Saccharomyces cerevisiae S288C: one gene and its partner. Changing the gene in region 2 together with the main gene of any one other region gives a genetic interaction. Each region holds a gene or a part of one and is shown on either strand. Other genes may lie near its edges.

What was found. A genetic interaction does not mean that the proteins touch.
Region 1: mutations in PAU10 (region 2) and WHI2 together harm fitness more than expected from each alone (negative genetic interaction), as found in Saccharomyces cerevisiae (2 studies listed by BioGRID).

What each region holds. Positions count from the first base shown.
Region 1 is NC_001147.6:409,060-413,004, forward strand, and holds WHI2 (Whi2p), read left to right. Parts: upstream 1-1,810; coding exon 1,811-3,271; downstream 3,272-3,945. Other genes in the region: ubiquitin-binding protein CUE5, read left to right, coding at 1-601. UniProt on the Saccharomyces cerevisiae protein: Plays a role in the coordination of growth and proliferation. Required for entry into G0 phase under conditions of carbon limitation.
Region 2 is NC_001136.10:1,521,415-1,526,979, forward strand, and holds PAU10 (seripauperin PAU10), read left to right. Parts: upstream 1-1,834; coding exon 1,835-2,197; downstream 2,198-5,565. Other genes in the region: YRF1-1 (Y' element ATP-dependent helicase protein 1 copy 1), read left to right, coding at 4,907-5,565.

The DNA of each region.
Region 1 (3,945 bases), on a different chromosome or scaffold from region 2:
AAGGGAGCAACATCACGAAGACAGTGAGGAAGAAGATTCGTGGTCGCAATTTGTAGAAAAGGACCTGCCAGAGCTTACGGACAGAGCCGGTCGGTCATTACAGGACACAGCAAACAAAGTTAGTAACTGGATAAGTGATGCTTACCGGAGAAACTTTGCGTCAGGTAATGAGCAAAACGACAACCAACATGGTCACCAAGATCAGCAAGAATGGGAGCCAGAGATTGTGGATTTGTCACAAGGCGGGAAAAATTCAAGACCCCAGCAACCTGAGAGAAGAAGATTCAATTCGTTTGGCGTTCAAGTCGGTGATGACTCTTTAGAAAGCCACGGAATCACACTACACAACGAAGATGGATTTGAAGATGATGAAGATGTGCCACCTCAGTTACCAACGAGAACAAAATCTGGTGAGTCGACTGGAAAAGTAGTGGCAGAGACAACCTACATTGATACTCCAGATACAGAAACGAAGAAGAAATGGCAGCCGCTACCACCGGAACCCCTGGATACTACACCAACTAAAGTAAACGCTGTTTCTAGAAATAAGAAAAATCCGGATGAGGATGAATTCTTAATCAATAGTGACGACGAGATGTAAAGCTGATATCTACGTACATGTGTATACGTGCCAATATTTGGACGCATCTTATTTTACGCGCTTGTGAAGAACTCACTACCTTCTTGAAGGAAGTAAGAAAAAATTTTCAGAATTGTTGATAGTCGTATATCTTCCATTATAACTATTGTTAGCTATTAATTCAGATAATGTAGATAAGATTGAAAACATAAATTCATCATAAAAAAGAATAGGTCTTTTACGGCACCCGTTCAGACACTTTGACACTTCAAAGTATATGCATCAGCACACTTCTGACCATTCTACGTATTGTAACAGCAACATGAGTTCTTTAAAACTCCAATTGACATTTTCGTAATGTGTTTTGCATATCATCTAAATTTCAATGACAGATTTAAAAAGTCAAGTAATTAAAAATTTTCATAAGCGTGCTTTTTTATAGTGCGAAGAACGGCAAAGGCAACCTTAAGAAAAAAAAATGATAGGTTACGTGCTATATCCGGAAAATAAAGAAAGATGAGTAAGAGTTAAAGAAAGAATTCAACCAACCTGATGGGTGTATGAAAATCCCGATTTTATATCGACAGCGCTAGCATGCATGAACAGTGTTTTGACGGTCAAGAAAAAACATAACCTCTGCATAATGTACTTACTTATCAAAACGTTGCAAATCTTGTATGTAAGAGGTGTTTGGGTGTTTTTTCCAAACGACCCGAAGGAGGGCAATTCAAAATAAAAAAAGCAAATTTTATCAGGAAGAGAAGATTTTAGTCAGAACGGGCCATGTTCAATGGCCAATTTCTTATGCTCTAGAGTAATAATTACTAAGGAGGAAAGTAAGACAAAAAACGGTCTATCGTTGTTTTAAGTTTACAGCATAGGCATAGTGATAGAGTGTGAGAGAGTCTCTAACTCGGCGTCAGTTTAGAGTCATTTTTTTCTTTTCTCCCCCCAAAGGTCATAAGAAGATAAGGATCCAAATTTAGAAGACAAAAAAAGTTTTGTTAGAACGTTTATCCCATTAAAAATAAGGGAAAAGAGAAACAACGTTATTTAGTGATTTTTTTAATTGAGAAGCATTTTCTCCAGTGATAATTTAATTGTTTTTTTATTCGGAAAAGAACAGAAAGCGCAAGAAGACAACTCCTTCACACTTAGGCTATTAATTTTCCCGCCTCCCCATTAATTGATAAAGATAAAGGTTGTCTGAGCTTACACTTATTATAAACAATGGACGATATAATCACGCAAGTTTCTCCAGATAATGCAGAGTCCGCTCCGATTCTACAAGAACAGCAACAGCAACAGAACTCACAGTACGAAGGTAACGAGGAGGATTATGGTGATTCATTGATTCATTTGAATATTCAAGAAAACCATTATTTCATTACGAGGGACCAGTTGATGTCTCTACCTGAATCCCTATTACTGTGTTTATTTCCCTCAGGTGTTTTTTTGGACCGTTGTGGTCAGGTCATTACTAATTTGACCAGAGACGATGAGGTCTACATTGTTAATTTCCCTCCTGATTGTTTTGAGTACATCATGGAGATATATACAAAAGCGCATGATGATTTGTATAATCATCCTGTGGAGAAATTTTTTGACAGACCATCAAGTAGCTTTGTTTCGAATGCAAAGGGATTTTTTGGACTGAGTAGCAATAATTCAATTTCGAGCAACAATGAGCAGGATATTTTACATCAAAAGCCCGCTATTATTGTTTTGAGAGAAGACTTGGATTATTATTGTGTACCTCAGGAGGAATTTCAGTTTGATTCCACTAATGAAGAAAATAATGAGGATTTATTGCGACATTTTATGGCTCAAGTGAAAATGGCTGCTGGCAGTTATTTAACTTCAAAAACATCGATTTTCCAAGGTTTGTATTCTTCGAATAGACTAAAGCAACAACAGCAACAACAGAAAATTGAAAAGGGGTCCAATTCTTCTTCAAATACTAAATCTACTTCGAAAAAATTGGGACCTGCTGAACAACATTTAATGGATATGTTGTGCTCCTCCGGATTCACCAAGGAAACTTGTTGGGGTAACAGAACTCAAGAAACTGGCAAAACGGTTATAAGTTCACTGTCTCTTTGCCGATTGGCTAACGAGACAACTGAAGGATTTAGGCAAAAATTTAACGAGGCTAAGGCTAAGTGGGAGGCAGAGCACAAACCTTCTCAAGACAACTTCATCACCCCAATGCAATCTAACATATCGATTAACTCTTTATCTGCAAGTAAATCTAACAGTACCATTTCTACAGCAAGGAATTTAACAAGCGGAAGTACAGCACCTGCTACAGCACGTGATAAGAGAAAATCAAGGCTGTCGAAACTAGCAGATAACGTTCGTTCGCACTCTTCCTCGAGACATAGTTCGCAGACCAGAAGTAAACCTCCGGAGTTGCCCAAATTGTATGATCTAGTGCCAAAACCTAATATCAACGCTAAGCTACTATTATTTTGGAGAAAACCTGCTCGTAAATGTTGGTGGGGTGAAGAAGACATAGAGCTAGAAGTGGAAGTCTTCGGCTCTTGGAAAGATGAATCAAAGAAAATCATTGAATTGATCTTGCCAACAAACGTTGATCCTGAAGCAGAACTACATAAAATCATTGTACCCGTCCGATTACATATTCGTAGAGTTTGGACTTTAGAGTTGAGCGTTATTGGGGTGCAGTGAGTGTATATAATATATTAGAGAAAGAAATGGAAAGAGATCGGGCCAAAGACACAATATGTAACAGTATGGTTTCTTGGTATCCCCTCTTTCTATTCCTCCCTTGTTACGAAATGATGTATATTTGTATCTCTATAACAAAATTATATGAACTGTCTCAAAGCACATGAAGAAGGAAAAAAGGTGGCGTCGAAGACTGCTAGATATTTCTCTTCGTATCTTCCCATCCCCTTCTGCAAATAACGGTTTTTCCATTGTCTATTTCAAAGTTACCCGCATAATAAAGTCGTACATTGTTCGAAAAATATCACTCAAAAGCAGCATTGATCCGGTATAAAACAATAGAAATTTTTTTTTTTTTTTATTGTTATAATTATTCTGACTCACGTCTGGATTTCGTTAGTTCGTCATTTTTTCTTAATTTCAGTAAACTGTGATCACGAGTCTGCAACATCATTATACACCGTATATCTGTATTATTAAGAATCAGGGTCTCCTTTTAATTTGCTGTTGAAAAACATCTTAAGGGAGTGTGATTGTCTGTTGATGTATACTAGTCTGGTAAAGCTAAATATTCTTATAAAAAACTTTTGGTAACCCATTATTACAGGAAACAAGATCCATTTATCAGATAAAAATTATAAAACATTAAGGAATCAGGACCTTTTTTTCGACAA
Region 2 (5,565 bases):
AGTGCCTTCATGTGGTTAATATATGTGCTATCGTATTAAAAAAAGTTTCCCTTCTCACGTGTCAATAAAGCATCACGAAAACATTCAATACTAGTGTTTTTCGCACAGAAACTTGCCAAATAGGCACCTTTATGCAGCACAATAATTAAAAATGCCCAACGTGACACATTCCAAGGTAATTTTGAAAAATCGTAAGCGCCATTCGTGAAACAGAATAGTGTTACACCCGTGAGAGTAATAGCGAAGTCAACTTAAGCAGATATTGCTACTTTAATCCGCTTATGCTGAATCCATATTCATCTTTTATCAGCTTTGGACGAGAAATTAGTTGTCTTTTAGGCAATGTTCGTGAGTAAGTTGGAGAAAAGATCTGTTTCAAAAGAGTCAACTTGAAGTAATGTCTCAAAAAAAAAAATGATAGTATTGCTTGCTCAAGTGCTAATTATATCTTTTCCTTGACAAAAGTACAAGTTATGCGTCTCCATCGGAAGTATTTTAAGTAGAAATATTAGGTACCAAAAGAAGTAAAAAATTAAAGCTATTCTTATTGGGTCACACTGACTTAAAAATTAAAGGAAAATATTTAATTGCATGTTATTTTGTTTAACTACTATCTTACTTCCACTGGTCCACCGGACCCTCAGGCTTCCTTGCCTTGTGGAACCAGTTTTTTTCTATCGAGAGGAAATTCTCCAGTCTAGTGATATTCCATATGAGAATGGAACACAGGTAAGCAAGGCAGTGGTGCTGATTAATGCGTTGAGAGTGCCAACAGAAAGAACAGAAGCTTGTTTGGGCAGGATATGTACAAGAATGAGGAATTTTTCTTTAACAGGGCTAATTTTGTAGTTTTCTTTTGAGCGATACTTAAATAGCATTTTAGATTCAGAAAAAATGCGTTGCCTAGTTATTGAGCATTAAACTGCGCCCATAAATTCAGGAGGCACTACCAACCCCTGCCACAGAATATTTACTAGGTATAAGTGTTTAACAGTTGCAAGAACCAAGCACATAGATGAAATTATTCAACAGAAGATTCAAAACGTAAAATAAAAAATATTAGCGCCATCCACTGGCCTCTGTACTCTTTTCTTTTCTTTCTTTTTTTTTTTTAACAAGAAAAATGGTACCCGGGTATCGAAGATGTTTCATTACACAAAACCTTGGCACATGATTCAATTCACCCTAACATCAATTAACTCTATTCGAGAAACATGTGCAGCTAACTGTAGCTACCTCGTTTATATATCGCATTCATTCTTGATTGTGGTATCTAATTTCGAATGCCTTAGTGATAGTGAACGGCATCGTAAGCTTCCACGGGTAGGTACGACTCTCAGTACATCATTGCTATTTCACTTCAGCTTGGGAAAAGAAACTGTAACATTATCCCGCGGCAATCGTTTAGAGCATACTAATATAGGCTAAGACAATAGCTTCCGAACGAGGGTCCTTGAAAAAGAAATATGACAGGCACGTAAAAGGGTTCTTCGAAGGCACATGGCGCCCCTATAACGTCGATCTTACATTGCACGCATACGAATACACATTGGCGCCGCAAAACATATCTTCATATACGAAGTTTGTGACGAATTCACGAATCGTTCAAGGACAGGTGCATTTCTATAGTTACGGTGGATAAGGTGTGTTAGATGAAATATGTAGGATCTTGAGGTGAGAAAAGAGTGTCAGTCAGTGGCTCGTTTGGGCAGCACCAGCTGGTGAAGGAATTTGTATAAATAGAGCAGACTTGACCGCCTGTCTTTGTGAATATGCAGTCATTTTTTTCTTCCTAGTAGGGCTTATATCAGCACTAAAAAACAAAACAAATACAATGGTCAAATTAACTTCAATCGCCGCTGGTGTCGCTGCCATCGCTGCTACTGCTTCCGCAACCACCACTCTAGCTCAATCTGACGAAAGAGTCAACTTGGTTGAATTGGGTGTCTACGTCTCTGATATCAGAGCTCACTTGGCCCAATACTACATGTTCCAAGCCGCCCACCCAACGGAAACCTACCCAGTTGAAGTTGCTGAAGCCGTTTTCAACTACGGTGACTTCACCACCATGTTGACTGGTATTGCCCCAGACCAAGTGACCAGAATGATCACCGGTGTTCCATGGTACTCCAGCAGATTAAAGCCAGCCATCTCCAGTGCTCTATCCAAGGTCGGTATCTACACTATCGCAAACTAGAGACAAACGCCAATTTTACGAACGGGTTTCCATAGACATTGAAAATGAACGAACAAAATAAAATAAATAAAAAACTACTTTTTTTTGATGATATAAATACCGTAGATTATATAAATGTATATTAATATTATAAACCTATTTGATCAATGACAGTGTTCGTGAAGCATTTTATGAATACGATGAACATAAGAAAGAAACTTTTACACTATTGTAGAAAAAGCGTGGACGGTAATAAAGCTAACAGAGTATTTCCAATAAACAATAATGAAATTGGAAACGTATGACTTCGCAGCACTTTGTCTTTCCATAAAAATGTGTCGCTGCTTCTTTTTTCATTTTTTGGCGCGTCGCGTCGGGCCGTATAGAATATGCGTCACTTCTAAGAACAAGACTGCAGATCAGGGCAGTGCGAGTTACAAGTCATGGTACCAAACTCTCATTTGGAGATCCTCATTTTTTGACACCTAAAATATTAAGATTTATGGTTTGGGATAGTTTTTTGTAACTGTAACTAGAAATAAAGCTGAGGGGTTAGTGTTCTACCAAAACTAAGATAGAGGGTGGTAAGATGAAGTGAGATGAGACAATATCGTAATATCCGTTTAAGTATACGCCGCTGATAAGTTATAATATAGTAGGGTTATTTGAAGTTTCGTTATAACTCTACAAAAACAACGTACCTATCACCGTATCGTCTTGTTCAGATATAGTCTCTTCGTATGAGTAGTGTCACATACAAGATTAAAGATGCATCAGTTATCCTTTTAGGATATTGCGGTTAGCATATGGGAATGGAAATAGGATGCCATTGTATCATAGCACCCGCATGAGTGTGAACACACTACCGTATTATAGCTCAGTGAATAGAGAGTGTTACGACAGTGAGGTGGCATAGTATTCTAATGTAAGGTCTGTGTAAGTAAGAAATATCCTGAAATGGCATCCGTTCAAGCAAATTGCAATATTAAGGAACTTTTACGTTAGTGATACCATGATAGTGTTGCTACCACAAGTCAATATGTTTATGTATTATTGTTGAAGGATAGAATATTTTTATGTTTAGGTGATTTTGGTGGTGATTTTTCTGTAATATTGGCATAAGTGTATATAAATTGAGTGGTTAGTATACGGTGTAAAAGCGGTATAACGTATGTATTAAGAGCAGTTTTACAATATTTGGGGCCGCCGAATGAGATATAGATATTAAAATGTGGATAATCATGGGCGTTATGGGTAAATGGCACAGGGTATAGACCGCTGAGGCAAGTGCCGTGTATAATGATGTGAGTGCATTTGTACTGATTTAGTGAGAGATGGGCCATGGAGTGGAGTGGAATGTGAGAGTAGGGTAAGTTTGAGATGATATATACTGTAGCATCCGTGTGCGTATGGCATATCAGTATACAAGTGAAGGTGAGTATGGCATGTGGTGGTGGGATTAGAGTGGTAGAGTAAGTATGTGTGTATTATTTACGATCATTTGTTAGCGTTTCAATAGTGGTGGGTAGAACAATAGTATGGTGAGTAGTAGATGGGAGATGGTAGGGTAAGTGGTAGTGGAGTTGGATATGGGTAATTGGAGGGTAACGGTTATGGTGGACGGTCGGTTGGTGGTAGTACACAGGGAGATGGATGGTGGTTGGGGTGGTATAGTTGAATGAGTCAGGGTAACGAGTGGGGAGGTAGGGTAATGGAGGGTAATTTGAGAGACAGGTTGGTCAGGCTTGGCTTGTCTTAGTCTTAGGCTTAGGCTTCTCTCTGGTGTGGGTGTGTGGGTGTGTGGGTGTGGTGTGGGTGTGGGTGTGGTGTGGGTGTGGTGGGTGTGGTGTGGTGTGTGTGGGTGTGGTGTGGTGTGTATATATATGTCACTGTATTGCATGCTGGATGGTGTTAGACAAGGCCGTAGGGACATATAGCATCTAGGAAGTAACCTTGTACGAAAATAGGCAATATTTCCTGTTTAGGCGATTGTGACGCAGATTTTAGTCCAACGATCTAGCGTCAAGGAATTTTTTTATAGTGGGACATTGCACCAAGGAAGTAACTTGATACGTCGTGGGTGAATGGGTCTGTTTTCTTATTCGGCGGGGTAATACATTTTTGGGGGAAGTTTGTCTGTCTGACGCGCCATATGTAGGTACGCCAAAAAGGGCTCCTCTACTTCGAAGCGCGAGGTCGTATACCTAATAAGGAAATGTAATTTATAACTTTCTATTATATTGGTCTTTTCGAGAGCGGAAGAAGTTGTAGGCTAAGCGCAGGCTAAGCGTAGGTCCATATTTAAAGTATCCAAGAGAATATCCACGAAGCGGCTGAGCAACGAACAGAATCCTGGTTCTCCTCGACTAAGCAGATAGTTAAGATACTGTGCACCATGGAAATTGAAAACGAAAGTACGTACCGACTACTTTATTTTTGCAGGCCGGAAATCAAGCGATGAATGAGACATCCTTCTGTTTTCTATGTTGGGACAGACAGTCGCTTATCTTAGTGAGATTTCTTATTAACTGAATTTTCTTTGCTGCTGCTGGAGATTTGCACCTGCATAGCGCAGATTCTGCTTCTTCTCAATAGAGTAGCTTAATTATTACATTCTTAGATGATGATAAGACGGAAACTGGACAATCTTTTGTTTATATTGATGGATTTCTTGTCAAAAAGCATAACAATCAACATACTATTGTTAATTTCGAAACTTACAAAAATAAAATGAAAGTTTCCGATAGGCGTAAGTTTGAAAAAGCAAACTTTGACGAGTTTGAGTCGGCTCTAAATAACAAAAACGACTTGGTACATTGTCCCTCAATAACTTTATTTGAATCGATCCCCACGGAAGTGCGGTCATTCTACGAAGACGAAAAGTCTGGCCTAATCAAAGTGGTAAAATTCAGAACTGGTGCAATGGATAGGAAAAGGTCTTTTGAAAAAATTGTCATTTCCGTCATGGTCGGGAAAAATGTACAAAAGTTCCTGACATTTGTTGAAGACGAACCAGATTTCCAGGGCGGACCAATCCCTTCAAAGTATCTTATTCCCAAGAAAATCAACTTGATGGTCTACACGTTGTTTCAAGTGCATACTTTGAAATTCAATAGAAAGGATTACGATACCCTTTCTCTTTTTTACCTCAACAGAGGATACTATAATGAGTTGAGTTTCCGTGTCCTGGAACGTTGTCACGAAATAGCGAGTGCCAGGCCGAACGACAGCTCTACGATGCGTACTTTCACTGACTTTGTTTCTGGCGCACCTATTGTAAGGAGTCTTCAGAAAAGCACCATAAGGAAATATGGGTACAATTTGGCACCCTACATGTTCTTGTTACTACACGTAGATGAGCTATCGATTTTTTCTGCATACCAAGCAAG